Linked DNA regions of Drosophila melanogaster. The protein of the gene in region 1 interacts with the protein of each later gene in a pairwise test. Each region holds a gene or a part of one and is shown in the gene's direction. Other genes may lie near its edges. The genes, in order: foi, CG14589, CG44837 and Epac.

Region 1 (8,526 bases):
GATTTCCAAGGGTCTTCGATTTCTGGAACTCAGCATGCAACTGGACATCCAAAGCTGTCTTCTGCACAACCTCATCCTGGGTCATCAAATCGCGCCACTTGAGCTGTAATGGATTTTTGATGAGATACATGCATCATCTTATGTTGGATTACTTAAACATACCAGCTTCTCAAATCGTTTTGTATCCAGCTCATACTTTTGCTCCGTATTGATCTTCATGCTGGGAAAACGTTCGAACCAAGGCCAAATCATGTAGTCCACGATTCCAATGTGCTGGCCGGCAAAGTAGGGCGTTCCTCTTTTGCCCAACTCCACTTCAAAAACATCCAAGGCATTCTCGAAGTTCGGTATGGCATCTTTCGGAGCGTTGGGATTACAAGTCAGCACAGGATAAATGGCACTGACCACTGGAGCAAAACGTTCGATTAGAATCTTGTCCAGCGCCTTCTGAAGCGGATCCGTGGGAAAGAGTCGCGTCTGGGGATATTGCTGGTCCAAGTACTCTGCTATGATGAGCGACTCCACGAGGGTCGGTTGGTCCTTCACCCCAGTAAGCTGCAGGGCTGGCACTTTGCCCAGAGGACTGAAATCCTTGTACCATTCAGGCTTCTCAATCAAATCGACGTAGATCTTATGATGTTCAATATGTTTGGCGGCCAGCATCAGACGAACTCGGTGGCTGAAGGGGCAGAATGCCATGGAAAAGAAACGAGGAACTCCATCTTCTGGCAGCTCGGGCTTGGTGGAACCTGTAAGATCAATGTAAGCTTGATTAATTGGCAGGAATAAAAGCACTGACCCAAATCCCAGTTGAAAAGGTAGAAATAACATTTGATGGTCTACTTTATATATGGGTTTAATATTTTTTTAAAAGCGGTTTCACAATGTTAGTTTAAGTATGTTGCTTCCTGTCATCCATTAATACATCCTTTACAAGGGCTGGAAGGCTACATCGTAGTCCGGTTTGTTCTCATGGCGGGTCTTCATGAACTTCGCATGGATTCGGGCATCCAAAGCGGTGGCCTTGACAGCCTCATCCTGAGCCACCAGATCCCTCCACTTCAACAAATTCTGATAGCGTGTCTTGTCCAACTCGTAGGGTTCATCCAGAGTGTACTTGAGGGCCGGGAATCGCTCGAACCAGGGCCAAATCATGTAGTCAGCAATGCCGATCTTGTTGCCTCCAAAGTATGGTGTTCCGCGCTTGGTGATCTCCTGCTCGAAGACATCCAGAGCGGTCTCAAAGTTCTTGATGGCATCAGCGGGTGGATTCTTGGTGAACAGCACGGGGTAAATGGCGCTGACAGCGGGCGACAGGCGTTCGATGAGAATCCTGTCTAGCGCCTTTTGCAATGGATCCTTGGGGAAAAGGGAGCCCTCGCCCGGATACTGTTCATCCAAGTACTCGGCAATGACCAGGGACTCCACCAAAGCCGGTTGTCCAGGCAGATTTGGCAACTGGATAGCCGGCACCTTGCCCAATGGACTGTAGTCGATGTACCACTCTGGTTTCTCGCTAAGATCAATGTAAACCGTGTGATGTGGAATCTTTTTGGCGGCCAAAACCAAACCGGCACGCTGCGAGTACGGGCAGAATCTCATCGAATAGTAACGCAGGACTCCATCCTCGGGGATCTCCGGTTTGGGCGAACCTGTTGAAGGGTGATTTGTGACGTCAGCAGAAAGTTTTCCATTATGCTTTGGCTAAAATTAAAGCTCTATCTCTGCGTAATTTACGCCTCTCAAAGTGGGGTCTAGATAAAACTATGAAATCAATTGCCAACTTTTGCAGCGTCACTATCCCGATGACCTTGAAGTGCCCCCAACTCACCCCTCTTGAAGTGCTTTTGCGGCAGGGCCATTTTGTTAACAATTTTAAAATAATTCCCAAGACGTGAAATGTTGGTGGCAAAGTAGTTCCGATCGACTGACAACAAATAGAGGGATTCCGGTACCTTATAAAGTGGTCGCAGTCGCCGGACGAGTGAATTTATCGAATATATTTCGATTGTTGAGCGGGTGAATTTAAAATTCTTAAGCTCATATTTAAGAAAATTGTTTGACCACATATTAAAGACTACAAACGACTACTCTAAGATAAGTATTTTCATATCCATTTATCATTCATACCTTCATTAATCTAATTCTAAAACAAACGTACTTACAACCCGTATAAACAATGAAAATGCAAAGATTTATTTTTCAATCACAATAATGCTGCCGTAGTAGGTACATGTGTTACATGTTATATGTGCAAAAGGTACAATGCTGAAGTGGAAACGCCATCATCCCGTAGACTACCCCAATTTGACACGTTTGGCCTCATTGCTAGAAACGAGAAATGGATCAGTCACACATTATATGTATAATCTTCAAATCTTACTATAGCATATTATAATCGGCCTGGCCCGATCGCCGGGAGTTCATGTATTTGGCATGGGTCTGTCCATCCAGATAGAAACACTTGACAGCACGATCCTGGATCATCAAGTCGCGCCACTTAATCTGCAGTAGAACAATCTCGGTAATTTAAAAGACATAATTAGAAAACCAATAGGACCCACCAAAGTGGGAAAACGTTCCGGACTCAATTCGAATTTTTGTTCAAAAGTGTATTTCAGAGAGTCAAAGCGCTCGCACCAGGGCCACATCATGTAGTCAAGCATGCCTGGGCTGTCGCCACCAAAGAACTTGGTACAACGTCGCTTCAGTTCCTCCTCATAAACGACCAATCCGGCATAGTGATCGGTGTCAACCAGCTGCTCGGGATTGTCGTGCAGCAACAGGTAGTAGAAGGCATTGATGAACTGTCCGAAACGTTCGATTAAAATCTTCTCCTGGGCTTTTTTAAGCAGATCCTTGGGATACAATGGCACCTCCGGATACTTTTCGTCCAAGTAGTCACAAATAATGAGCGACTCGATCAGCACAGGATTTCCCTGTTCCTTGACCAGCTCCAGTGCCGGCACCTTTGTGGAGCTGCTCACCAGGGAGAACCACTCGGGTTTGTCGCGAAGATTGATGTAGATAGCGTGGTAGGGAATCTTTTTGGCATCCAGGACCAGGTGCACACGGTGTGCATAGGGGCAAAAGCGCATCGAATACAGCTTTAAGATCCCATCATCCGGAAATACGGGCTTTGGCGAGCCTGCAATATATATGCGCCTTTTAAATGTGAATTTGGAACTTAGTAACTTATACTAACCAATAGTTAAGTGCTGAGTATTGCTCATATTGGCAATACAATTTTTTCTGGAAAGGAACACAACCTGTTTTGCGGGTTATGACAATTATCGATATTTGACAGTAAACGTTAAGGTGGCTCGATAACGTATTGTCTTTTTACAGGATTGATGTATTTTTAATCAATTATTATTTAATCGGTTTAAAAAAATCTATCTTAATCTTAAATATTAATTTTTACAACTTTAATTTTTTTAAATATAATTCAGTCATCTATTCATCTATTATTTAGGACTTTAATTTCAATAATTTATGGTTATATATCCATAATAGACTATTTGCATCACTGCTCCAAATACATATTGTATATACATAATTAATCTAAAATCAATTTATATTTATCGTTTTTAATATTTGCTGCAAGAGGTTACATTGATCGCCATCGATGTGTAGCGTTGATAGCAACGGAACACCGATACCTATCGCGGATGATTCGGTGTTTTTCCACATCCCTACCGCCTATCGATAATTGTTATAACAAAATTGTTTTAGTTGCGGATTTCTTGTGTTTGGCGGTGTGAGCGAAAGAGAGATGGCTGCTGCGGCATATGTTTAGCGTGTCCGGAAAATGTTTACAGTAAGCTCGCCCTTGCGTAACTGAGCCCGTGTTGGTGTTGGTGGCCGCATCCCGTACTCCGTATCCCGTGCAAATCTCGCCGCTCCATGCGGACTCGCTTCGATTCGATTTCCCGTGCCAAACCGAGATTATTGCAACGTAATTGACACTCGGCGTAATCTCTACGGCCTCTTTCATTCACGCCCACCGCATCGGCAAAAGCTATAGCTCCCAGAATCGTCCAGCATTATCTTCGATCCCGCAATAACTCTAGTGGGAATTGTGTGAGTGTGTGTTACAGTGTGCGATGTGCTAAACAGTCCGGCAAATTTACGGGTGAGTTAGTAGTGGGCTTGCATTAATTATTCGCCTTTGTTTAATCTTGGCATAAGTTCGTTCAGAATGGAAAGTGCATGCGACGCGCCCCCATTCCACCTCCCACCGCCCAAAATCCACCCACCACCACCCACTCGTATTTATTTATAGCGGGACATTTCCATGTGCGTGTGATTTTGACACCCGCTCACTTACATCCATATGTATTTGTTGTACACACACATACGCAGATGCACACGTAACTACACTGATATTCAGCACGTTTTTATGCTATTTTCGATCGACATCATCAATGTGTTCTATACATAATTCAGCGCAATTCTGATACCATTTCCATGCTCGCTATCTTCAGAGCCTAATTACGCAAAATCAATGGAATTAGTGTTATCAAACGGGCCAGAATGCTTATCATCCACTGGCGGGGCTAGATAAGATTTCAAGGGGGAAGACAACGTGGATGAGTCTTCACATCGCGTATGCTTTATCTCTAGCATTCTCTCTATTTAAATCAATAGACTTATCCAAACGATCATAGTTACAATTACAATCCACGTGTTCGACGTACACAGCTTACATTTTGCGTAAATAAATACTCTTATCACCTTACACATAACGTCATTAGATTTTATATTTGTATTGCGCATTGAGGGATATGAAATATTTAAGTTGTATTCCGGATGCGTAACCCCCTTTGGAAGCCGTCACTGTTATCGCCACTGACCCATATATCAACATGTGTTCCTTTCGCACTTTTGGCTGCCTTCCACATAGTTCTGTTGTTTTTGTCTTTTTTTTTTTAGAAGTGTAGGTGGTGCATGAATCATAGATAGTGGTGCCGGTGGTGGCCAAAAGGGAAGCATCCTTATCGGGCGCGAACTTTTCCATTTCTCCGCCAAACGCCCGCCGCCAATCAATTATTCATGAGCCAGCGTAATTTGCAAAAATTGATATGTATATTTGCAAATAAAAAAAAATGCAATATCAGCTATGAATGCCTTGCAACCAGGCGCCAACAACTGAGGCAGCCAACCATTTCAGCAACCAACAACTCAATACGGAAAACAAACGTTTCTCGGCGATCCACGATCATTTCGATGCCCCCAGATGAATTATTTATCGCATATGGCCAGCCCTTCAACATCAGTTATGTGTCACTTGGTGGGTCGTACTAGCTGAATACTAAACCGGCCAGCCAGCCAGCGTACATAGTATGTAATTCAGCAGACGGCGAGCATGGCAAGGTCAGAGCCTCGTTCCGTACGGATTTGATCCAATCGGATTGGATCCGTAGCTGTCCATTCGGATTCCGAGACCGAGTCCGAATCTGAATCCGACGTGATTGACCTCAGCTTAGTCTAGTTGTGTGTACTTGGCTTCTACCCATCCAGAACTTCAGTTCCATGTGGCCATCACATGACGCGAGGTTTTTCATATCTTCCTAAACACACTGCTGAAATTTCACATCAAGCTTTGGCTTATGAAAAGGTAGAAACCAAAAAACAAAAAAAAAAAAAGATAATGCCCAAATTTGTGTGTGTATGTATGTGCTTGGATTCTTGGGTACACCTTTTCGCAGGTTATTTCGCTGAAGTTTCAGGTATGAATTTCGTGTTTGTGTTGCGGCCAAGATAAAAGATAAATTGCTCAGCAGGTAGAGAGACGATCTGGAGATGTAGATGTACGGTGGAAATTTCAGGCTAAACAAACTGTAGATTGTGCATAGTAGTTGTTCATAAATCTTGCGAGGAGTTCTACGAGTACGTTTCTAGATTTAATTTCGCAGTTTAAGGTTGTGACATGTATAAAACGAGATATTATGCAGTGTCAGGGGCCTAAAAACGTGGAGATACCATGTATGTACATATCATGTGAAATTTACTCATCAAGTTTTATCTATTGAACTTTGAGCGATCGCGTGTTCAATTTTAGGCTTTTTGTGCGGATGTCATGCGAAATTTGATTGTGCGATCGAAGCATAAAATGTGGAATGGGTTCCAGGAATTTTGAGTATATGAAATTGAGATTTAATGTGAAATTTCATGATGTTGACTCATCGAAAAGTAATCAGAACGTTTTGGAATTTCACAATTTGCGAAATGAGACCCACCCTTATCCTGAAATTTCAGCATGGAGATCTTTTGCGATGCCAAACGAATTTATGTGGAGGTTCTATGTATATGAAATTCATTTATGCTGACTCAGCTGCATAAGCTTTCCGCATCTAAAAAGGGTTACTCTGCGGAAATTTAATCCGTATGGGACAGCACTATTCGTTGGAGATATCATGCGAAATTTTGGTGTACACATGGAATTCAGAGAGCAGCGAGTTCAGTGACTTGCCGACTATACAATTACCACGAGAATTCGGAAAAAACAGACGCGTGCGATTTTCGATATGGAGATGTTATGCGAACTAAAGTCGATTCAGCAAATCTAATCGTACGTTTTTGGTACAGTAGCCTCTCGATATGTACGATTTTAAAGTGCAATTTTAAACAATAAAAACAAAGCAGTTTTTCCTAAAGTTTATTTATTTATTTATATTGAAAAAATAGTAAGTAAATTTAATAGAAGTACTAATAGTACTTTCAGATTACATTTTTTTAAAATTCTCAGACCACCAGATTGCAATGGTAAAATAATTAAATTATTGAAGGCTGGCCAAAAAATTATTTTTTTTTTAAATTAATTAGTTTGAATGGAATAAAAATAATAATACGTTGATCTGCTAAAATATTGACGTTTTAATTAGATCTTAGTTCGAACCGCATTAAGTATTTTGGCTAAGAGCTCAAAATTAAGATGGAATCATTGAGTTCTAATTTTCGTTCTCGTCGACATTGGACATGGTACAGAATCAGCCACGCCCCGCCAAGTTAGCACGCCTTCGATGTGGGTATGCTTTAATGTGGTCCCCAGTCATATGCACATCGATATATAATACACAAATATACATATATACAGACATACATACGTACACACTCACTCAATTAGCCAGCAATGAAACTGGCTTATAAATCGAACCGCAAGCGACGCGCGCCGCTCAGTTGCAAAGCGTTTGCAAAGCTCACTGGTGGTGAGGATCGCAGATCGGTTGGGTTTAGTGTTTCTTTCCCTTAAATCATCTTTCAACTCGTTACGAAAAGCATTCAAGATATTTTAAAAAATATAAACATATATGTGGTGTGGAAGAAAGTGAAATGAATTGATGGGCCCCGAATAAAAATGCCCTATAGCATTGACGCCATCATAAAAACGAGATCGTAAAACATTTTCTCGCAGTGGTTCCATTCAAATCACGCGAACAGAATTTAAATGAGGCTTGATTTAAAAAGAAAAAATAATAATAAAAATAACACAGCACTAAATACAAATGAAACAGTCGGTCAATGGCGGCAGCACTTGACCAATTGACTGAGTTTGCTGGATTGATTGGGAATATTGCCGATGAATTGTGTTTGATCTGATTTGGAGAATTTGTATGCAAATCGGAGCTTCGTTGATTGATTTTTATTGCCCTGAAATTAAGTTTTTCGCAAATTTCCTTTGGCAGTTTGGCAGTTAATTTCCTCAACAAGTGCCAGAGTTTCAGCTGCAGCAGCAGCAGCAGCAGCCTCAACCTTTAACACTTAACCCCTTGCCAAGGCGACGTGTGTCCTTGTCAATGCCGCGGGTGCACGCCCACTTCCTGTGACCTTGACGCCATCATACCGCCATCATAACTTAATGCAACAACAATGACGTTTCTATTATTACCTATAGTGGTTTTGGCTTTCGCTTTTATTAAGTCGATAACCAGCGAGCCACCCATCCACCCACGTGTATCTGTATCTGTGCCTGTGTCGTAAATTTTCGCCAAAGTTTTATCAATAAATTGGATTTCAATGCAGGACCGTTGAACTAACTGCCATTAATGCGCAATTGTAAAATTGTCCGAGTCCCAACAAGTTGTTGTTGCAATCCCACTACAATAACAAACTAATTTTCGGTTTGTTAGACGGGTGAAGGGGGAGGGGGGGTGGTCTTGGCTGGTTTTAGGAAAAATTCCAGTACCGCCTGGCGAATTTCCTTTTTGCCGCGTGCCACTCGCATTTTGCTCATCGAAGAAGCCGCATGGCATCCAACAATTTGGCTCCCGACTAGGAGCAAAAAACAAGTTGGCCGATTAGCCGCAGTTAGTAAATATCAATGTGCTATCGTTATGTAACTTCTCATTCGATTTTCGTGCAGTGTAGTGTAGCGCTATTGAATCGAACATTTTGATTCTGACATTGAAAAGAGTCTATAGAAGAAGCCAGTTAAATATGAGATTGTGATTTGAAAAGCAAATGCTCTGATAAGAAGTAGGAATGTTAACGCAATGTGCATTAAATGGGGTTTCAAAGTGATAA
Region 2 (6,899 bases), on another chromosome or scaffold:
TACATTCACGTAAGTAAGAAAAACTTTGCACACCAATACTTCAAATATACAAAAATATTATTTCTCATTTAGTTTCAGTTTCTTGGGTTTAGTTCATGATGTTGTATGATTTTGTTAGATTTTTTTGCTAATCTGGTTTGCCTTGTGTGACGGCTTGGTTTGCTTCGCTTCGGATCAGAGCTGTTCGGTTTGTCTTTTGGTGTGATTTTGACTTCGAATCGGGTGCCACAAGAAGCAGAAGCAGAAGCAGAGGGCGGGCGTTGAAAGGAGGCAAAGTCAGGTTTAATGTCGTTCAATGGCGCGGCGACGTTTTGCAGTTGAGGTAGTCGGAGTCGCGAGACAAAGACTGGGGGCAGTCGGCAATGGGAGGGCGTGGAACGGGCAGAAAAAGTGGGCTTAGGCCGTTCGTGGGCAAAGAGGAATAAAAGACTCGACGTTGGGCAAATAGGCAAAGATTGGCGGTTGTTTACCGATAAGCGCCCATGAATGGGTGACGGCAGCAGTCGGCAGACCAAAGGAGAGCAAGTGCCATAGTTATCCAGGCGGACTGTATGTACCGATTTTGCATTATACATAAGTATGTACATGGCCATGCCGCATGGTTGGTGAAAACGTCATATACAGACACAGTGGACCGAGTTGGGCAAGTGTAAGAAGAATTACATGGGTTTGAATATGTTGCCTTGTCTAGTTCTGAATTTTCTCAAAGAAATAACACTAATCTAATCTTGTATGTTATATACAAGATAATTTAGATTCTTTAAGAAATCTGTAAAAGGTAATTTGAGTTTTTTCTGACACTATAAATTTTATGGTGTGTTGTTAAGCAGGATCAGTGGCCGTATCCATCTACCCCTAACAGTAAAAAAAGGCAAATAGGATTTAAAGGCCGAGATCGCTTTGGACTAGGATTCGGTCATTATCCATATTCAGACCAGCCTAGAATTGGCCCTGATGGACTTGGAGTAAAGAAAATAAATCCTTATTCTTTGTCTGTGCAAACGTGCGCGCATAACATACATAAATACGAGAGCTAATTAAACGTCTGCATACCGACATTTGATAGATTGTCGACGAAAATAAAAGTTGAATAAAACATATATGTAATTTTTTGATATTTTCCTAGGTAAAACAAATTATTGGGGGCTTTAGAGGCACAATGATATTTTTTATTTCCCTGTGCAAATATTCCAATTTTTCTTGTTTTTATGTTGGCTCGCATGACATTATTTGATTAAAAGTGACAATTGTAAGCCTTGTTGGTATTGGAGTAATACCAACCGAGCTCCTAATGCTTTTGTACACTATGTATGTAGATGTTGGCATCCTGGGTGTCAACAATTCTGATCATAATGCTCACTGGCAGCTAGTCCCTCAGATTGCATACTAAGCAGAAAACCAGCGTGCGTACATAATTGGCGTGCCCTTGTCGCGCCAGTTATCGATAACTATTTCCTGCACAGTTAAACTGGAACGCAGTACGGCCAAAACAAAAAACTCATCAGTATTCAGGAGGCTGGGGGAACTGAGCTCTTGTTGTTAGCGCAAGTGCCAACTCATTGGCTTAGCTGTAAGCGTTGGGTGCTGTAATTGCAGCACGCGCTGCTGCTTTTCCCGGGGGCTAGGAACTGATGCTCCAGTAAGCACCTGACAACGTTGGCTGGTAAAAAGCTTCTGGCTACAGAAATAGCGATGCACTTGCCACAACGCAGTCTGTGTCGTCCGTATTTGGGGTCGCCCCAAGCTCCCACCCACCCAGTCCTACCCCTTAGGCCTTCCAACGAACACTAAGGCACATTTGTTATAATTATTTTTAAAGTGCACATATTTAATCAAGTGTGGATTGGGCTGCTATGCAGTAGCACTATGTATGCATGTCAAACAACTAATTAGAGCCCATTTCTTTCCTTTAAGGAATTCTTAATTCAACAGAAACAATGGTTTCGAGTTTAAGGCAAATCAAATTTTAAATAATATAAACGATACTTTAAGAATGAATATTTAAATATTTTTTGAAATTCCAATAGAAATTGGCAAATAATAAATTCAAATTAAATCGAAGTATTCAACTTTCTGAGCGTAACAATTTTTTGCAGATTTTGGGAGTGGTAATCAACTCGGCTGGTAATCTGCTTTGATCAAGAATGTATGTACAAAGGATAAAGTTAAGGATCGCTACCTTCTGTATATATACTAAGCGACAGTAAACCAAGTGTGCAGTTACTCAAGGAAAATTTTGTAGGAGATTCTGTAAATAAAATCCCTGTGAAAAACCCACCAAAGTTCAATGCACGAATCTTGACGCAGTTGCTGCGGTTCATTATTATATTGGTGTTTTGGCTAATTAAGTCATAAAATGGGAAACCCCAGACACGCACACAAACAAACACAAAATCAACGAAAAATTAATTTAAAAAAAGTATTAGATATTAGAAACACCTCTACTAACACTAGTCATATTGTAAACAGTCCAAATAGTTAGCCGCTACTAAAATCGAATAAAATCAAATTAAATTTTCAAAGTATACATACCACGTTCAAAAAGTATCCTAAGTGAATTAAATTTTATTAAATGAATACGCTCTTTGAACTATTCAATTCCGAACTCAGCAAAGTTACGTTGTTCATGAGAACATTAATTACTGTCGGTTATTAACTTTTAAACGTTTAGTAGTAGGCTTCGAGAGCCCTTTCATGGGTAGAGTTTAGTTTGTTTATCCTTAAATGTATTTCCACCACCGTAATCTCAAGCAAACACAACAAAAACACGAGAATTTCAAGTACGGAAAGCAACACATTAGAAGGACCAATGTGGAACGTATCCTCGATCCTGGAAGGGCTAGAGCATGAGCAAGGAGTAAACGCGGACCTCCGCGGCAAGAACGTGTTCAACTTGTGCGTGACCTTCTTGTGGATATTTCTGTGCATCTACGTCCTGTCCAAGCTAACCCAACTCGTGGAGCTCTTTCTGTGCCAGCGGCTACTTGGCCAGAAGCAATGGTACGACGTCCGCACGATCAAAAACGAGTGGGAGCAGACCCTCCAGCTTTATGAGGACGATAAAAGCCAGCTGGACGCACAGGTGCGCGAGTTGCGAGAAAAGAACCTGAGTATGGAGCGCTTGATGGTGGACCTGCGAGACTACAACATCCACTTGATCAGCGAAAACTATATGCTGTCCGTGATGCACGAACAGGTTAACAAAACAAACACAAAACAACCAACATATTTGAGAATCTATTGATCTTAAAATCGCGCGCAATATTATTTTCCATTCAAAGACACTGTTACACTGCTAGCCATGTTATGTAAAGATCTAATTGACCTCGAGACATGTAAAGTGTATTAACAATTCATTGTTCTTTGCTCAGAAACCAAGGCCGGCCGAGCCGAACATCTACATCACCAACAGCCACTTCCATCTCACTCGCCAGATGTTTCTGAACGATAGTCAAATCAATCTGAACGTCCATGACCATGGCGAGAAAGGAGCTTCCGGGGAGGGCAAAAATGTCTGGCTGCAGTATCTAAGGATGCGCAAGTGCTATATGAGCCCGATTGCCGATCCGAATTCGATAGATCCCAGCAGCACCACCAAGCAGATTCTCCCAATTGTTATGAGCACCGAGCAGTTGGCCGAATTGCAAGGTGAGTAAAGTAACAATTTGTGAGATGTTAATAATCGTTGTCTTTTTCTTAGGCATGATCTAGTTAGTTTTAAGTTATATGCAAACATAAATCTCGATTGTTGTATTGATCGCAAAGAAAAAAGCTCAAACAAATATATTTAAATTAATTGCTCTACTTTTCCATTGTTTTTAAACGGAAATAGCGCAAACCTCGGTCAAAACATTTGTCACTATCCTTGCAGTTAAGATAATTATGTTATTCTCACATGTTTGTTTTTCGATTTGAAACGTAGAATCTGTAGAATGATTACTGTTTGTAGCCTTTAAGCTGGAAATAAAAATTAGCTTAGTAATGTTATTTATTTCAATTCGATTCATATTCCAAATTCAATTTTAGCTCAGTGCTTTGGACCACAGATAATCGGTTTTATTTGCCTAACTACCTACCACCTACCGCCTCCCAATTTCCTAAACGCACCGCCCTCTCCTCCCTTCGATGGCCTTCGCGACAACATCTGGCGGAAACGAAACGAAAACAAAATGCAAAATATAGCTGTCTACCAGTCGGTCGTCTGTTTGTTCCAACTGCGACTGCTAAGACGATGACTTATCAAGGCAGAATTTAGCGATTGGTTCTTTAGCTTTCTTCTTCGTTCCCCCACTGTGCCAGAACTCTCCATTTTATTTTCTTTGCCATGGGGTCACTGGCAGTTATCGTTGCAATTTTGTAATCAGTTGCCGGCTCAAGGTTAAATGCTCGCCGGCACTATGGGCGAAGTCTGTGGGTGCAGGTCCTAGTCGGCCTCATACCCTTGCATTTTTTCATTCCCCGTGTGTCATTTCCGGTTTCGGCATTCATTTGGTCATATTTGGACGCAGATTCGCCATATTTGATTTACATTTGATCGAGAACCGGCGCTCTCGATGTTGTTTTGCGACTACTTACTGGGTCATTTGCCTGTCTGGCTCATGTAGTCTGTACATACATATGTACATACAAATTTGCAGTGGAACTGGAATCGGATTTATTTCGTTGTTCATTTGCGATTGTCACTTGGTTGAGTTAGATTTATTGCCATTTAAATGCAAGTTTATTGTATTTTCTGGATCAGTATTGTGCGTTGAATTGGGTCTTTCCTCCCTCAGTCTGCACTCGCATTTTCCGTTTTTACTGTCTTATTTGACAATGATGACGCTGATGAGGCCTAAATTGATTAGCGGCGAGTGATGTACATATAAAGAACATAACCGATGAAGTCATTGAACTAATTCAAATATTTGCCTTCGCCGATACACATTATATATCTGGTTTGACTTAAAAAAAAAAAAAATCCCAAAAAAAAAACACTTTTCGACCCGAGACAGGCTTAATAAAAAAAAAAAATAGAACGAAAGCTTTTCTCATATCTTGCGAAATATCAAAGTTAAAAATTCTTTGTATGAGTAGCATCTTTTTTTAGTATTTTAAATGTATACATGACTTATTTTCGGTCGCTTTAACGATTATGGACTTAGTTATATGAAGCTTTGAAACAGTAATAGTTTATTACGTTCTTCAATCTAGAGAATGTTGCAACAATTCATTTACAATTGGTATTGTAAAAAATTATATTTTATAATACTTATTGATAAAAAAAAATTACAAAAGAGCCGACTGGGATAAAAGTTTATTTCAGTGCCCGGTGTACTAAATGATTACTAAAAAGTTTCCATTAAAAACGATGATATTTTATACTCCATTATTCGTTGCTATAAAAATAACACAATATATTTAAGATAACACAATAATGGTAAGCAATGTAAATTTTCTGTTTGGGACGACTTTTGTTGTTCATCCTTAACCCATTTGTTGGTCGGGGTCACGTAACAACCAGCGTCATTGGAGCACCCGCATCTTGTAATTCTGGCCGACTCTCCGTATACAATTTTATTGTTATGCACTAGCCATCAAGTCGAGTCAAATTGTCTGGCTGCACCCATAAATACTTGGTCCAACATCTATGACGCATTGCCAGGTGGATAATTCTATGGCCAGGGCATAGTGTCGCACAATAGGGGAGTCCTAAGATGGCTAGTTGCTTATTTTAGTTTGGTATTTATAGATCTCGCAATGTGCGTCGCACGCTAAAGAAGACTATCGGATGGCATTTGCAGAATCAATTTGTTTACCACTTGGTCGATGAATTAGAATCTTCCAAATACAAATTATTTCGCACATTACGGGGTGGAGCGGAGAGTGTGAGAAATAATCTAATCGTTAATTGGCACACTAACCCCAAACAGAAATTGTGCTGCCATTGGCCCCATTTCACACTCACTGATAAAAATAGTTTACGTTTTATCAAGGTTATTTGCCAAAAAAAAAAATAACAAAAACAACAACAAACAAAAGCGAAAACGAAAGTGGAAAGCAAAAAGACCAGTGCGAGGGTGTGCGAATAGATAGACCGCGCCGAATACAATTGGAAACGACCTTGAGATAATGCCCTCATTTGTGCATTTCAATTTTTTATTTACTGTCAAACAGTAGGTAAAATTGGGGAACGGATATTTTGCGCATGCTAAGCTTCGTTCATCTAAAAAATAGGTTAGCTATTATACAAAAAAAAATGAATAAACAAAGTATTAAATTACTTTTAAAATCTTGCCCAAGGCTCCACGTTACTTAAAAGAAGTACGACGAAATTGATAAAAAAAAACAAATAGATACACGTATAAAAAAACGTATAATATTTAAGCATTTTTCAAAGTTCGTCGATTGCTCTCATCAAATTCTTCCACCTCACCTGTTAGCAAAAAAAAAAAAAAACAAATAACAAGTCCTTTAGTTACAGAATATTATTGACAACATGCCGACAGCCTATGTAAATGCATATTTAGATAAGATAATGATATTTTACGAAAATGTCAGGAACTGGACCAGCGATCCCCAGACGGGGGACCCTAACAAATGTTTGTTTACCCAGAAATTAGGGTCAGGGCTAGAGACGTCGCTCAACGTTTCTTTTCTACTATCGAGAGTCGCCTACGTTATGTTCTGTCGTTGCGAACGTGTATCTGTGTCATGCGAAAGCGAAAAGATACATGCTCACACACACTAGCAGACGGGCCGTGTCGGAAAGGAGAAGAAGCGAGGAGGGCAGTAAGTGTTCATGACTTCCATTCTAATATCATTTAAATGCCCCGTATATAATGTATACTCAGACGTATACCCACCCAGTCCGCTCTTGTCCACCCGCCTGACTCCCTTCTAAAGGCCAGACGAAAATT
Region 3 (8,425 bases), 3.4 Mb from region 1:
AAGGTAAGATGACGAATTACTTAAATTTGTTTTTAAAACTATTTCATTGTTTTACAATCAAAGCCATTTATCCAAAGGTTGAAAGCTTTGAAAGCTTTCGCTCAAAGAAGATGGCGCCACTTTGTGCAGAAAAAATTCTGAAATGAGAAAAACAAATTATAAAGTAAGGAGCGTTAAAAAAGATTGAAATATTTTTTAATTTTGGCATTTTATATTTATATTTATGGATTTTAAGACTTTTACAAGTTTAGTTTAAGATGGTATTATTCTTGTTTATAGTCTTGGCCTAAAGTCACCTATTACAAGGATATTAAGAGCTGCATTTTGTGTCCACAAACTTAAACAGAAATCGACAATTGTACAGAGCCAGTGATTTCGACTTTAGTAGTCCGCTGGCACGTGAATGCCATCGAATGCGTCGGAAGGTGCTGGCCGGGAACCAAATGTCAGCACGGCATCCGGGGCCATAAATCAGGCCATTTTGTAGCACTCCGTGTTGCGGGTCCAGCTGGTTCGAGTGGTTTGGTTACCACGACCAAAATATCCAGATATCCACTGGGACAACTGCATCCACGGGTCGAAATGCCCCGCATTTGGGACACATGACAAATATGCAGTTTGCAAATGTCTAATGAATTTGAACACGCCTTGCAGCGCCAATTGGTGCCAAGTATTTTGCCTCTGGCTGTGGGTCTTTGAAACTGAAACACTTTTTCATTCCTTTTGAACCATTTCTTGTATTTAAAAATAATTACTTTGTGTTTAGAAAATTACAAAAAAAAAATTGTATCCCAAAATTACTTATTTAAGTTTGTGGCTTCGTGGTGCTTGGCTTCACCCTTTTCTGGATAAGTTGAGAAGACAGGGTAGGGTTAACATTTGGAAACCAAATCGCCGCCAGACAGCAAAAGTATCTCATGCGGGGGAAGGAACAATAACGTACAGAAATATGAAGTTTCTGGAAACGAAACCGAATTTCTATTCAATAAAGTTCGGTGGCTTGGTTGGGCTCGCAACTTGTGGCGCAGATGTTCCCGACCTTCCAGCCAAAGTTCGTTATTTGGTCAAGGAAAGAGGTCCTGTTCGAATTCGACTCACTGGCTACAGTGTCCCCATAAAAAAAATTAAACGCAGACCTCAAACAGAATGGCTTGTTGCAACTTTCACTTGTTTTCGATCTTGACTTCTGACATCCTCTGTGGCAGGGATTTGCCGTCGAGGACATGGGCGTGGCTGGCCAACATGTTCACGAAAAATTATGGCTTGACTCCGACATTGTTGAGCCCTTCACGGGCCAACTTTTGGTTCTCTTTCCAAGTTATTAAGCTTTAAATAAAGAAGAATCCTTTTTAAATTGTTTAGACAGCAAAATTCCCACGGGAATTTGCAGTAAGCCAATGTTTCAAAATAATTATTTGTTGGCTTTACAAGACAATAGGAAACCACATTTTTCTGTTTTTTTCTTAATATTTAAATATTTTTAATTACCACAACGCCTTCACATTTACGTGAAAGGTTTAAATAAAACCAATTTAAACGTCTATTTAGTAGATATTTCCTGTAATTATTAACAAATAATTGTTGTGCCATAGAAAAAATTTAATTTATTATAAGAGAACGGCAATTAATATAATTATATAATAATTAATTATTCCTTTGCCTGCATACTAAGATTAAAATAAGTCACTTAATGGAGCAATGGATATATATCCACAAAGTTACATATATATTTTTGTTTTTACGAACGTCCCATCGATCCGCTTTTTGTTAATCATGTGAGTCCTCGTATCTGAAATATGATTTGCATATGGATGCCGGATGTGCTAATGCAAATTTTTGACCCAGCTTGAATTTCATTAACACGATTCGGGGGATTCAGCGGTGCACATACTTACTTCCCCTCCGTGTTCCGACACTCAGCCCATCCGATGCTTGATGGCCATACATCAGGATGAAGGATGAGCACTTCAGAGTATGTGTGTGCCATGAGCAAGTACTTACATATGTACCCAGGTACAGGTGTGCAGAAATGTGGCCGTGCATTGTAATGTTAAGTTACAAGAAATGGTCACACTACAAAAAAAATTTTAATGCGTGGGCCGTTTCATCTGTACAACTAAAATATATCATGTTTTCTAGCTATTCGCACATTGATTTTTTAAATAATTTATATTGAATTTAAAAACATAATATTAGATATCACACTATATTTTTCTGAGTGCTGGCTTGGGGGTCGGTGAACATTTTGAGATGAGGTTAACAAAAATGGCTATGTGTCGTCGTCCTGCTGACTGCGAAATTGCTTTGGATGCCAAATGAATGCACTTGCATATTTCATTGCCGCCCCGTCACCTGCGGTATCACCTTTGGGCCAACTCTTTGCCCCAAGTTGGGATAACACCATCATAAAACAATAGACTTTGGCTTTGTGGCCAGGAGCAAGCGTAACTTTGATTACCAAGAAGAATGTATGCTATTGAGTTCAATAAGAAAAGCCCTGTTTGGTAAAAATGTTTTAAGGTCTGTTAAGGCATAGCATTAAAACAAAAAAACGCTACTTTGGAGGTTAAATTCTTTTTATTGTTACATGATTCCAATGGATATTTGTTTTATATTTTATAGTTACTTTTTTTCAAATAAGTATTACAATAAAATATCTTTGCATTAACATGGACTTTACATTACATACTGTTAACATGGCGACCCACTGCCATACTTTTTTGTTGGGCCAGGTCACTTACGATCCACAGCATCCATCCACTGGGGGGTACTCCTTGCGGAAACTGTTGCTGCTGCTGTTAGCAGTGCCGTTATAAAGTAACGGTACCGCAGCACTGAAGAGCCCAGTGTGTTGGCAGCGCCGCGTGGCAACGGTAATTGAATTGAACCGGGTAGCGTTAGCGGTTTTATCCAACGGAAAATGTGACGGAATATTGGCGGGATTGACGTGTTATAATTTATTTGTTTTAGTTTACGCCGTGATATTGGAAAAGCATAACAAACATAACATTGTTAGTGAAAGAGTAAAAATAGGTAGCGTTTGGAATCCGATTATTATATCTACTATCTTATCATTTACTTTCACTTACATAATAGAAACGTTATTTTTTGTATATTATATTTATTACTTAGCTTACATTATTTTACTTGCTTTCAATATATTATATGTACATATAAGTTGTACCTCCTTTATAATGTTATATCCTTGAATACTTGAATACTTAGGCCACCAAAAATGTGTTTATTTTCATAAATATGCAAATTAAAAGTAAATAGACCAGAATAAGTGCTAATACTGAAACATAAATAAAGATGATTTGCGTGTCATTACTCAAATATCAACTAAAATTCGTGAAAAAGAATTAACAATCCATGAGTGACTAAAGGGAACCATGTCTTCTGGCGAGTGGGACCTGCGTGCTTTGAAGGCGCTGGAGGAGGAGGAGCAGCGCGAGTTCCTGGCCCTCAGCCAGAGAAACCTCTTCGATCCGCTGCCGAATCCCTCACCGGATGTGCCCAGTGCGAAGCCTTCACTAACTTATGCCCAGCTGCATCCTCACCTGCTAAAGCTGCCGACGATCGACGAGTGCCAGCTGATGGCCGTCAAGCAGCAGAGATCAGCGGCTCTGCGATTCAGTCGCGCCCTCTCCTTGTCCGCCCACTCACTCACCTCGCGAACCGGAAGCGCAACGGCAGGCGGAAGTGGCCTGGGCTTTGGCCGTAAACTGAAAGCCCGCTTAGTGGGCGCGAAGTCGAGTGGCTCACTTTCGCCCGGTCGGCACTCGCACAGCTACAGTGTTTCCCCGGTATATACGCCGCCGCCCATGAGAAGATGTGCCACCTTGCATCACACGCAACCGGTGCGAAAAGTCTTTAAAAATCTCCAACAGCTGCAGGAGCGAAAACGTCAGGCGGCTGGAAGTCATCTGCAGAGGATCGCTGGCACTGGAAAAACGTACTGGAAGTACGGAGCCAATTCCACGGCCGCCTCGATAGTGGGCCAACGTGCACGCCAAAACCAACAGATCGAAGTCGAGGAGCCCAACGGTTCGGATGAGCTGAACTCGGAAACACAGGAAATCTCCGAGGCGGAAACGGGCTCCTGCAGTGTGCCGCTGCCGTCGAAGGACACCAATGAAATACTCCGCCTCATGCTCAGTGCGGCCAGCTCGGCGGTAACTGTGACGCCAACGGCGGCGGCCATTGGTAACGGTAACGTGGCCGGAGCAACTGGTGGCGCCCCGCCAATGCGTCGCTACCAGAATGCCAGCGATGTTGAGGAGGACGAAACTGTTGCGTACGGAGCTTTCCACCAGGCGGCCAAAAGCTTCGAGCGCGGCGCTCTCCTGCGAGTCGGCAGCTTAACAGCCCAAGAGAGCGATAACAGCAAAGTTAATGCCATTAGCCCCAGTCCACAGAACAGTCCCGCCAGGGAAACACAATCCACAGCGGTGGGCGGAACGGGTGGCAGACGTGTGTTCAAGTCCTGCTCATTCGATTGGCCCGGGGAAGCGCAACAGCATCTATCCCCGCAGCCACATCAAGCTGCAAATCCTGTAGAGCTGTTGGAGCAGCAGGGAAAGGACATTCGCTTTCGCCAGAGGGATCACTGGGATCTCGAGCATGCCCACTTCCATCACGAGGCACTTGGACACCTAACAACCAGCACCACCGTCATCGATGACGAGCTGGAGCAGCATATCAAGCACTGTTCCTGCTCCTGCAACCACATGGGCTATGGCAACTCAATGGACTATCAGGTGAGTGAAAACTACGTTCAAAAGAGATTAATACAAATAAAAACTGAAAACAATTTCGGTTGAATAAGAAACATATGATTAACAAATTGTAACTTTCGAAGCTTATATTGTCTATTAATGTCGGTCTATTGTTATACCATCAGTATAGGAAGGCAAATGGCTTTAGTTATTGAAATTTTAGATATTTTGCAATTAAGTGGAATGCTAATTGTTTCCTGTTTGCCCATTTAATCCAAAACCGCGTCAAATTCCCGCCGTGCACAGCCCTTTTACAAGTGATGGCGCCGTGTAATTTTAATTGCAGCAACTATATCTGCAGTGCGGGTGTCCGGCAATTCAGGTGAATGGCGGCACATTCAGAGGGCCTCCACTTTCTATCCAGCTTTTAATGCACTCTGGCGGAGATTCCAATACACAGGCATTTCCCAAACTCATTATCAGCGAGGCCTTTTGTGGACATTCCGGGTTCACGGCTGGATTGGTCCTGGCAGATTGCCGCCTGGAGATCGCCCTGGGGCACTGACTCTGCCATTGCCAAGTGCTCCATTGTCTGGCTGCGAGTGGCCCGCATGGGATGGGTTCAACTTTTAAACTAAATTGAATACCCCTTTGAATCCGACAATGAGCTGGATGCCTGTTCTTGCCGGGATTAAGCTCACAGTTGGGTTTCTCGCACCCTCACATCGTTATTGTCTGTAATTGTTAAGACGATTTTAGGTTTAATAGCTGCCATTTCAAATAGAGTTGGAGTCTGTTGGCTGACCCCTCGAAAACTCAAGACTTTATCTTTTGTTTTACCACAAGGATGCAATTGCACACTCTATGTGGCCCTAAGGGGTGTGAGACTTTTATTGTGCAATACTCAGGAACAAACGGCCTGGGAAACTTAAAGCATGACAGGAGTCTTCAACTAGGAAATATTTTCTCGGTTAATAATGCACTCTAAAGAACTTTTAAATACCATTGTATGTAGATGATGATGTAGATGATACCATTGTATGATGAAATGATTGCCTGATAGTTAGGACCTGAAAAAATGAATTCTAGCCATTTGCATAGTTTGATTACGACTTTATAGGAGATTGTTTACAGCGTACAGATAGTTCTACAATAGGTGCGATTGCGATTGGGTGTGCTTTACTAATAGCGTTACTAACATAGGGCGTTTATTTCTAACTCGATCGAACATCCAGGGGGGTCATGCGTCTAAAGGCTGTGGGTTTATCCGTGGGATGATCCGATCACTGCAGCGTGCTCTGTGGCGGAGTGAGCGGGGTCCAGGTGTCGGCAGCTACGGCCGGAGCTCCATTCACCACGGCGGTTGGCACCGAGACCACGGCAGCTCCACCGCCAACAGTGCCCCGTTCCCCGGCGTGCTCCAGGGATGAGGACTCTATCTTGATGTCGTGAGAGCTCTTCAGGGAGGAACTGGCGCACTCCAGCGTTATGACCGAGCCCTGCTCATCGCTCGGCTTGTACATGGCAGCCTGGGGGTCGTCCAGTGTCTTTGAAACATCAACGGGCTCCAACGGATGAGTGGCATAGCTGGAAGGCGGTTGGTGGGAAATCATTGATAGCTACGTTAGCGGTAAGTGCGCACAGTTCCCCACCGATTCAACCTACCCGATCTCCAGGGGAATGTATTCCGGCTGGTAATACGCGGCGGCAGCGTTCTGGTACAGTCCGTACTCCGCCCCGGATCCATTGTGCCAACCACTGGCGGAATAGCTTAGCGCCGAGGGCGCATTGAGAACCGCATTCGTGTACAGCTGGTGAGTGGGTGAGGTGGGCGTGGGATGGTACACCTGGTGGGCAGCTGCACCGTATGCCGCTTGCGGGGATCCCGTTGTTCCTGCCCCGCCCCCAACGCCCACTCCGGTTCCATAGATATCCGTTTGGGCCATGTTGTACTGATGACTGTGTGGCGTCAGGTGATGAATGGTGTAGCTGGGCGAGGAGGTCGTATAGCTCGGGGATCCATTCGTCGGCGACGGAGAGTTATGAGATGCTATAAAATTAAATTTATCAGTCACCTATCTTCCATATCATGATTGTAAATAGTCATTATAATGTGTGCAGCAAACTAGAAACTGTCAAAAAGGTGATACCATTGTCCAAAGTTGAACTTTTTACAAAAAAAATTACTCTGCTTACTTAATAATATTTAAGTATATATTTTACTTTAATGGTAAATTGCTAAGTGCATTGAAAACTGTCACGATTCTTAAATTATTTCAAAAGCAAGGAGCTCAAAACTTTTGATACGCGAAAACTTAAGAGCAACACTAGGTACTTTTTAATTAAATTTCCGTTTCGAAAGTTCAAAGGTCACGTAGCTTGTTAGCAAACGTATTGTATCTTTGGTTAGCCTTTCGGGTATTTTTGCAAAGATATAAGCAGAAGCATTTCCTCCTGCCCTCCATGAAGTACTTACAGATGTTGCGGCCACTGCACACGTTCATGGGCATGGGTCCCGGCACGCTGGTGGCGTTCCAGTAATTGCCATTGCTCTGCCAGCTGCTGGGATAGGAGAACACGGACGCCGTGGGACTGGCATCGACCGACATGAAGCCGGATTGGGCGTAGGAACTGCTGAAGCAACCAGTACTCGGCGCAGATCCGATGCCGCCGCCGCTCGAGCTGCTCACACTGGTGCTCACGGAGCCAGTGGACGTGGAGTGCAGGCTGGTGGGCGTTTGTGGAGCCGACGGCGGCTGCGGCGATGTGGACGAGGCATTGCCGGCACTGCCATTTGATCCGGATCCGGAAACGACCCTGGGTCGACTGTACGGTGTGGTGCGAGTGGGTGCGACACTGCGTGAAGATAGGGATCTGCCGTAGCGATCGCAACTGCCGCCCGATGATGGACCCACGGATTCGGCCGAGGAAACGCTGGGACACGAGGCCACCAGGCCGTGACTCTGGGCAATGGACAACGGAGGAGGAGCTGCCACGGCGGCCGCCGCAGCCGTATAATGTGTGGGCGGTGGAATGAGCCAGCCGTAGTGGGTATCGTGTGGATACAGTGTATCCGGTCGCTCTTTGGCATCCAGAAAGGCCTTGGCAAATGGATTATACTTGATCTTCAGCGATGTCACCTCCTCATTCTGATACGCCGTCACCGCGATAAACTGCGTTTCCGGAAATGGATAGGTGACCACGTGACGCTGCTCGGAACCCACGCGAACCAGATGCACACGTGGTTCGTACTTGTGCAACGAATTTAGCATTATCTGTAAGATAGTTGTGTTTAATTATAACTGGTTGCTTTGATGGTAAGGATTTTCGTGGTTCTGCTCACCTGTCCATTGCCATTGGTCTTGTTGGTCAGCTTTACTTTGGCAAACGAGATGGGCTCCTTCATCCAGTGGGCTCCAAAATTGGGAGACTCGGGGTGTACGTAGATGGGATTTGACGGGGGAACCTCTGCCTTGCCACCAGGAACCTAAGTGGGTTAAAATAATGTTAAAAAATATAAATAACAATAAGAAGGTAAAATAAGGTAATTACGAAAAGCCTTATAACATAAACAGATACTTCAGATTTGCATGGGTTTTTTGATAATTGAATAGACTTACCCATTCACCGTTGACGTACTTCCAGCGATGTGAGTCGATCTGGACGAACTCCAGGAGGACGGTGTACATGGCGGCGGGATCCAGACC
Region 4 (8,589 bases), on another chromosome or scaffold:
ATTAATCCAATTATGGGGCGATTAACGTTCCACTTGCACATCAAGTATCCGCCACGTGGTGCCGTCTGACAGCAAATAATAAAAACCTTAAGTGCAGCAAGATGGAGGCGCTAGCAAAGTTATGTCCAAATCGAACTCCAGTGCTTCCGCCACCCGGAAACTCGGCCGAAAAGCTGTCCCACATGAAAATGCCAGTCGGCCAAGTGGCACGCATCATGCAACATGCGGGTGCAGACCGGGGCACTTTCAGTGTGGAATTTAATCAGAAAACAATTGCATAAAATTATGCTCAGCAAGGCGAGAAATTAGTTTTTACTCGCACCAAGCGGGCTGCAGTCGCAGTCCCAGGATGTTGGTTGGCAGATGACATGGCCAAGTGGACGGACACACGGCGAAGTGCTTGCTCCACTCCAAGGACCTCCTGCTTCCCCTTGTGTTTGCCCCGGCACTTTTGTTGTCCGACACGATGTCTTGATGTTCAAGAGACTTAATTATTAAAGCAGTTTCGGGCGACCGGCCACCCTTCTCCGATTTGGGCAGCTCCAGCTGGATCCTTTGGAGCTAGCTGCCTGTCGAATTGAATGCGTAATTATGAGCCATGAACCACTTCTGGCTGAGCAACAGCTGCCAAAGCGACTGACTAGGAGAACGATGGCGACGGGGACAATTGGCAGGGACGGGTTTGTTGGCTGAAAGTTAATTTTAAGCACACATTTCACTGAGCTCATTAAGCACACAGTCTGCCCGCTCCATACCCCAGTCCGCCCTTCCGCCCAAAATTGCGCTCCGTAAATCGCGCGGATAATCAAGTTTTTGGTTGAATGCAAATGACAGAGACTCCATCGCGTCTATTAACTTTTGATTTGCGCGTATTTGCCGGATGGCGGAGGGTATTGACAGGAAATCTCCTCGCCACTAATTCAGTATTTGTATGGGGTTTTCTGTGGAAACTAAGTTATTCAGCTAAATTCTGCTGACAAGCTGGAATCAGTGATTGGTTATTGCTTGAGCGTCTTTAAGGGCTTAACAATATAAAAGTACAGATCGATACCCTGCCTATCAGCACCGAATTAATTAGCTAAGAACACAATATATATATATATATATAAATATGTATATATATATATCAAATAAGTGCAGTGGATGTCCAATCATCTGATTCTCAAGAACATTAATCAATGCGTTTACATGAAAATCCCCGACAGGCAAACATCAATATTCGCACTGAACAGCTTGAGTTGCGCCCAAATGTGTGCTACACGTTGGTCGACTGGTGCACCGCCATGGTGGTTAGGGAATGTGGGGTGAATCTATCAGGAACCTGCGGAATATGCGAGTGCCTTATTAGCCAGTCAAAACATGAAGGCAGTGGCGCTGGCGTTCCTGATTGCACGTGCGCTGGCGTTACCTCATTTATCAGCTAATCAAATTACATGGCCATAATACGCAAACATTTGCATGAAGGGAGCCCAGGAACACAGGGCAGCTTTAATAGGCAATTTGCGTTAAACGCTGATTGAATAACCATTAATGCAACTAAAGAGCCAGTGTGCCACACATGCGATAATAATGACATCAGCAGGTGGGTGGGTAAGTGCAATCAGGTCGTAAACACGTTCCGACGGCACCAGTGACTGACTTTTGAAGCGACTGGCTGAGGATGGTGAGCCAAAGTCCTGGACAAGGACTTCGACAACAACGACTAGCTGACGACGAGTCGATCAATGTACAACAGCATTTTCTGCTAATGGGCCACAGGCAGGGTGGCAGGAAGCGCCATTAGACCAGGTGCCACATGCGTTGATGATGAAAAGAAAATGCATTAGGACCGGCCATGATGAGCCCGCACTTGGCCATGAAGGCCTTCAAAGCCAGCCGTGCCCACCAGCCGAGTTTATTAAGATCGCATTTATCATAATTACCGCCGGGTCGTTGTGTTGTGTCTGGTGGAGCAGGATTCAACGCCATGTGATGACATATTCAGCAGGCAAAGCGGCCGTTAAATTCTTGGAATTTCATTCCGCATTGGCAAGCCCGAAAAAATGTCTATGGTGGTCCTGTCAACATGGGGGAGGCTCATAAAAAATGCGACAGGCAGACCCCATGAAAAACCAAAAAAAAAAAAAAACCCTGCAACACAGGGAAAGTAGTCTTCCACTTTTATTACGTCAGTTCTATTTAGTGCTATACCGTTATTGTTAATTATGTCTAATTATATTAGTAGAAGTAATTCATCTTTGCACTTATCCTATGCTACACCCGTTTGTGTATAATGAAATACCTATCTAGGAATACCAGACTACGATCCACCTTAACTATTTTTCTTTCTGTGCATTAACAGCTGGGGGAAAAAGCCAAGAATTTATATGCGCTGGGGCAGCCTGTGGAGCTGGAACCGAAACTGGGAATGATTCATGCGGAAATAAAGGCACTCGAGAGTGCCGTAAATATTGTGGTGGCGACCACAACAACAGCGGCTCTGGGAAAGGTGGAAAACAAAAGGAAAGCTTTGCATTTTCGCACCTTTTCAGGAGCGAACACGACTGAATCGCCGTTGATTCATTAGCTGAATGTGACAAGCCGTCAGTGAATGTCCAAGTGTCCAAGTGACCAAAAGTCCGGGTGTTCACGCACTCGCTCCGTAAATTCTGTCCGTTGTTTCGTGTCCGCTGCTGGTGTGCATTATTTAATTGACATGTTGATTGTTTCGCATTGCGATTCCATTTTATGTGCACTTTCAGGCGAGGGTGTGAGGCAGTTCCGCCCGGGGCGCGGTGCGGGGTTGTCCGCTGTTCGCCCGACGGCCGAGCGGACGGACAAGTGCCTGTTGAAGAGCTGGTCAACTGCGACGACTCACCAAAATAACGCTCAACAGTTTGTTGTGGAGCACGTAGAATAGGAGAGCGAGCAGCAAATGTTGCTAAACATTCGAGTGAATAGAGTCAAAACAAATTGTTATTTCAAGTAGACTAGGCAAGCAATATTATTCGTAATACAACATATCAGATTCGATTAACTTTTCATCTTTAAAGCCCAATACACAATCTATATTTTTTTTTTTTTTATATTTATTTATTTAGAAGCGATGAATCCATACAATGCAGTAACAGTAACATAACAGCGCAATTAACATATAAAAGATAAAACCAAACCTCTCACTAATCATGTGAGGACTTAAGACAATCTATACTAATAAGCAATAAGCAAGTAAGTAAAACAAATAAATCAAACAAGAACATAAATTTATATGTTAAATGCTATATCATTATAGCCATCTTTATACAAATTGTATCTCTTTGCTGATTATCGTATATAAGTGTAGGCAGTAAATGAATAAGAATAATATTTAAATTAAATTAATATTAAGTTTAAAATCGTAAAAGAATAGTAGAAATCCATTCATATCACAAAATAATGGGATTCAAATTATAATAAATATTATAACAAAAGTAGTATAATTTCAAACACTATAAGCAAAGAAACTGTATTTAATTAGAACTACTTTGAAATTACGTTTTTTCGTGTGCCAAATTTTATTTGGATTTTGACCACACCGATTTGGATGTAAGCCCACTGTGCCGAAGATTTGTCAAACTTGTTGCTAAAAAACGCGCCAAAATATGTGAGTGACGGAAAGGGACGGCGGGAAGGCGGAACAAGGCCAAAAGTACCGCACCGCAGCCGTCAACACTGCAGTCATCGGCAATGAGTAACTTCCAACAACCCACCACGACCCCCAATCTCCGCCGGGAAACCCACCTGCGAGGCGCAGGACAGGAGCGTGGTGAAGAGCGCCGCTCGGAAGTCGGAAAATGGAAGGCGGCCGAGCAGTTGCGACGCGACTACCAAATGAATCGGACGCGATAGCGCTTCAGCGGAGGTCGAGAACTGAAATGTTTGCCCAAGAACTGTATATACCAAGTGCTTGAAAGCCGTTAGCAAGTGGTTCATTTAAATATTCGTTTGAAGTCGGTTCGATTTCAGGTATTCGCTGGATTTCGGTATGTCGCGTGGGTTCGAAACTAAAAGTTCATTTTCCGTGCCAAAAAGTGTTTGCCAACAAGAAGGACTTTAAAATATCGAATTCTGCTGCGGGATCTCTGTTACTCTTGCATCTTCTGATCCTTTTCTCCGTTCAGAGGATGCGTGAGTATTCGATTCATGATGTTTCTTCGCCACATGACCAAGCTAAATGGCTAAGTTTTCCGTTTGGCAACGGCTGCAGTGGGCAGTTAAATCACATCTATTGTGGTTCAAAGTTTTGCTTTCACTCGGTTGCTTAATTAAAACAAAGTTTGAAACCCTAAAGTGGAAATTACATGGAACATCTGTTTCCAGGGCGATTTCAAAGCTTGTTCAATTCAATTCCCTAACCGCCACTCCGGACACTAATTGCATTTGCTGGCAGGATGGACAACTCGTTCGAAAGTGGCCGCTTATCGAGTCGTCCACTCGGAATATCGCCAATATCAGTCTTATCGCCCCCGGGACTTTTGTCGCCATTTATGTACGTGGAGCCAGCCAGCGAGCGAACGACACGTCAGAAAACGTGGCATACATTCGGGCGCCTTCGCGGGCTGGCCACGATGGCGAATACTTAATTATTCATATGCGAGCTGATGGTCCTTCGCGATGTCTTTCCTTTTGAGCCGTCACTCGAACACTTGTTCCGCCTGCAGTTCCATTTCGCTGACGAAAGCCACTGCACTTCTGATGGGGTGGTATAAATTATGTTTTTTCCCATTGACGCAGAACAAAATACGCATTCGTTTGCGGTACAGATACAGATAGTGCAGCGCATGGGTAAACATGGAGTTCGGTAACGAATTCGCGGTTAGATCGTGCCTTCGCATGCCATACGATCTGGATTTGGGCATACTGGGAAATTAGAATGCCCATTGACAGCGCATTAAGTATACGCCGTGTGTGTGGAGTAATCTATTGTTATCTGGAAATCTATTGTTAGATTTGTGCGCCAACAGTTTGTTGGTGCTCCGCCCTCACCGCTCTCCTGCACCACAACACCCCCTCGCCGGCCGAGCAGGCATCAAAGCTTATTCATAACATTTGCTTTTGTTGGCGACACAGATACCCACAAGCACACACAAGCACACACACACTGACGCAGTGGGGCCTTCTGGGCAGCTATCAGCAGTTGGGAAAACCCTTTTTGGCAAGTCCAACAATAGCAATTCACATTAGTTATGTGGCTGAAAAAATCGGAAAGAGGGAAACTTTTACATCTGCTGCTGGCATTTTATATAAATTATATTAGAGTCCGACATCCCAAGGCTAGCTTACACTTACGACTGCTGTATAGTGAATTTAGACTCACATTCGCCCAATTTAACTTTGCAGCTGCTCGGTATCGAAATCCTCGTCGCCAGCCAAACGGGAGCTCAAACTGAAATCCATTTCCAAACTTTCGCCTAATCAACGAGCTACGTCCACTTACCCCTGGCTCCAACTCGAAAGGAGCTCGCTCCAACGCTCCCAAAAGCGGATTTCGAGTGCCTCGCTGGGCCGAGCCACCTGGCATGTCGTATTCAAAGGGAATCGCAGATTGACGGCCACATCGCGGATTGAGGTGACTGCAAACTGGGTGCGAGCGCCGCCATTACTCGGTATTTTGATTTCGCTTTCCTGGGCCGCAACGGGCAATTAATTTGCACCACTTTGGAGCCGCTCCGCCTCGATTTATGTGCTCTGCTCAAAGTTGGGGCAACTATTTGGTTTGGTGTTTGTGGAATGTGCTGTTCATAACTTGTATCATAACTTGTGTCAAACGGCGAAACTAATCGAGCGAGGGAGATTTAAATAAAAATTCAACATGGCGATGGAATGGATAACTGCAATGGACAAACGGTAAGTGATTTTTTAATGAGCTGCACAATTAATGAGCAGCGATTTTGGGGAACTTTTCTTTAAATTCTAAGTTTTTAGCTCCAAAAGTTTCCTTAGCTGAAACGGAATGCTTTCTCTTAAATTTAAGGCATTTCCCAGCTGAGTGCACAAGTTTCTTTCCTCTGTTTTCCCGGAGCAGACACGTACTCACACATCGACGTACGTGTAAGTTGAATGAAAAGCTCGACGTGGAGTACAAACAAAACGAGAACGAGAAGCGAAACATTTTAAAATGTTGCCGTCATGCTCGACATTCATTTGTCAAGAACCAACATCGGGGTGCCCCATCCTCCTCCATCCTTGATGGCTGGCAAATGGCCAATCCATCCACTTTGTGGACACGGCCTGCCACGAATTATCCGCTTTATTAAATCTCGATATCAATTCTCCGTAACTCAATGAGCCGCCTTCTGCACAGCAATTATTTCATCATTCCTGATTTGGACACCGAACAAAGGAAAATAAAAACAGGACTTTAATCATGACATTCATATCTTTCTTGTGAATTGAAATGCAAAATAAATGTAATTGTAGTTCGCTATAAATAAACCAACCCATTTAATGATACTACTCTTAAAATACAATTTATATTATGATAAAGCATTAAAGTAATTTACCATTCATTTCATGAGCTATGCCTGAAAAGTGTTTTCTGTCGTGCAAAAATAATAATTAAACCGCTGTAAAAGTATAAAAATACTATAATTTAATTGAAAATATATATATTTCTGCTGAAAGCTCCGCATTTCAGAGGTTTTAATGCACATACATTTTTTACGTAAATATGTGCTTTGCAATTGGATGGAGTTTAGTCTTGTGCAAACATTATTTTAGTGGAATAAAACAGAGGCACGGGACTATTGTTTTTTTTTTTTAGTTGATGTCAGACTTTATACTTTCCATTTAAGAGAGCGGTTTCATTTTATCTGGACACCACAGTATTTATCTTTTCACAGCCAACATAATAACATTACCCTTATCTAAATTAATGAAAAAGCTCATATGTGAGATGGAGTATCTCTCCTGATGACATGCTATTTCTAAAGCATTTACTATTGCAACAGTCAACAGAATAGTCAGCATTCTAAAGCATTTACTATTGCATCAATCAACAGAATAGTCAGCATTTAGCGTGTAAAATATTTATATACAATTACGGAATAACCAAATTTATTTTAGTGTGTGCGCAGTACTTAAGCTTAAGTTGAACTTGATTCGAGCTAATCAAACATTGACCAGAGATCAAAATTGTTTTTCAAAGTGTCTAAATCGATTTGCCCAACCGTAAATGGCCGGGAATCGAGCACACATTCTTCCCAGCAACCACTTGATGCAATTTGTTGGATTTCAGCTGGGGCATCGCTGGACGAGTGCCACCATTACCATTACCATTATTAGCCCCGCCTGTCCCCACCGACTGCTCAGTTGTGCGGCACACTCTATTATTGCAGAGTGGCCTTATATTTCATTGGTGTTATCCGAATGGGGCGTGCCTCCGCCTCATACCGGCCCGCCCCTAACCGCCGCGCACACACACCATCAATCAGAGGACAATCTCTTCAAATTTCACGCTCTGTCAACGCTTAAACGCTTCTGCCGCACTCGCACTAAAGCATGAGGGGTCAGGGGTCAGCGGGCACTCATGTGACTGTGCGCGGCAGCGGGAAAAAAGAAAGGTCAAGTGGCAAGGGCTTAAAGCAAACTGTTTGCCTTGTGCCTGGGCAAACATTTGCAGACCGCTGCCTTTTGTTTGCCCCGCCCAAAGAGAAAGGGCCTAGTAGCGCAAGGGTGCCAGGATGCCAGGGTGCAGTATGCAGATCCAGATTTCTTTCACAGCTCTTCGGCTGCTCCTTCTTATGGACCTAATACAAATGGCCTCGTACTAAAGTAGGGAGCGAAGACAAAATAAACGATTTAATTTGGACAGAATTAATGGCACAGCCAAGAAGGGCACGTCATGCTGACTGGTAATTCGGCTTATCAAGAGCGATCTGGGCTTAAGCGCACCTGGAGATAAAGGACGAGGGAGCACTCGGTGCATGCCATCGGAGAATCCTTGGAAGGAGGCAAGGTAATCGCAGAACGTAAGGCGTGAAGTGGCAAAGCCAGCAGACAGCAATTGATATTGATGGCTTCCCCTTCCCGGCGGAGGAACAATCGTCTTACTTACAAGTGCCGCCGCACATTTATCATACGCCACGTGTGCCAAAGCAGCTTTAATGTGTGCGAGGAGGCCACCCTTCCCCGCAGCTTTAAGGCTGACGAATCGCCGGCACGCCAATTACAAAATTCCGAAACTAAACTTTCGGGCGTGTGCCTAAAAACCGCAAAAACCATTATAATAAACAACGAGCTGGCTGCCTAGGATGTGTCCCAACGCGCTTCCGGCTCTTTGGATCACTCCCTTCGTCCTTCGCCTTTCGCCCACCAACAGCCACCTGGCTGTTTGGTTAACGACAAACCCAGAAACGGTTAGTGGCCCCCCTTCTCGGCACTCGGTTCCCGAAATTGCCGCTTCTACTGGCGAATGAATTATGCATGAGCCCGGCAAGACAGTTCACCTTCAGGAGCCGGATGAAAGTTGTTCGCAGGCTGCGCCAAAAAAGTAGACGCCTCGCTGCAAAAGTAGCCCTCGATGCAGATGATGCCCGGCCAGGGGCAAGCTTGGGATCTATTCCTGACTGC

The links.
Region 2: the proteins of foi (region 1) and CG14589 interact in a two-hybrid assay, tested with the Drosophila melanogaster proteins (one large-scale study listed by BioGRID).
Region 3: the proteins of foi (region 1) and CG44837 interact in a two-hybrid assay, tested with the Drosophila melanogaster proteins (one large-scale study listed by BioGRID).
Region 4: the proteins of foi (region 1) and Epac interact in a two-hybrid assay, tested with the Drosophila melanogaster proteins (one large-scale study listed by BioGRID).

Annotation. Positions count from the first base shown.
Region 1 is NT_037436.4:8,521,570-8,530,095, forward strand, and holds the start of foi (fear-of-intimacy), read left to right. Parts: upstream 1-3,674; 5' UTR 3,675-4,135; intron 4,136-7,142; exon of another isoform or gene 7,143-7,211; intron 7,212-8,526. Other genes in the region: GstO2 (glutathione S transferase O2), read right to left, coding at 1-103, 163-749, 1,832-1,862; GstO1 (glutathione S transferase O1), read right to left, coding at 2,298-2,328, 2,384-2,505, 2,565-3,148, 3,206-3,233. UniProt on the Drosophila melanogaster protein: Required for the normal migration of longitudinal and peripheral glial cells. During larval development, required for the migration of the subretinal glia into the eye disk.
Region 2 is NT_033778.4:6,134,618-6,141,516, forward strand, and holds CG14589 (uncharacterized protein), read left to right. Parts: upstream 1-2,685; 5' UTR 2,686-2,809; coding exon 2,810-3,196; intron 3,197-3,371; coding exon 3,372-3,643; coding exon of another isoform or gene 3,644-3,648; intron 3,649-3,700; coding exon 3,701-3,791; 3' UTR 3,792-3,794; downstream 3,795-6,899.
Region 3 is NT_037436.4:11,933,308-11,941,732, reverse strand, and holds the start of CG44837 (uncharacterized protein), read left to right. Parts: upstream 1-2,860; 5' UTR 2,861-3,033; intron 3,034-3,225; 5' UTR 3,226-3,392; coding exon 3,393-4,760; intron 4,761-5,813; exon of another isoform or gene 5,814-6,001; coding exon of another isoform or gene 6,002-6,305; exon of another isoform or gene 6,306-6,327; coding exon of another isoform or gene 6,328-6,337; intron 6,338-6,383; coding exon of another isoform or gene 6,384-6,768; intron 6,769-7,194; coding exon of another isoform or gene 7,195-7,993; intron 7,994-8,061; coding exon of another isoform or gene 8,062-8,205; intron 8,206-8,338; coding exon of another isoform or gene 8,339-8,425. Other genes in the region: byn (brachyenteron), read right to left, coding at 6,002-6,305, 6,384-6,768, 7,195-7,993, 8,062-8,205, 8,339-8,425.
Region 4 is NT_033778.4:6,794,182-6,802,770, reverse strand, and holds the start of Epac (exchange protein directly activated by cAMP), read left to right. Parts: upstream 1-3,829; 5' UTR 3,830-4,001; intron 4,002-5,358; 5' UTR 5,359-5,830; coding exon 5,831-5,865; intron 5,866-8,589.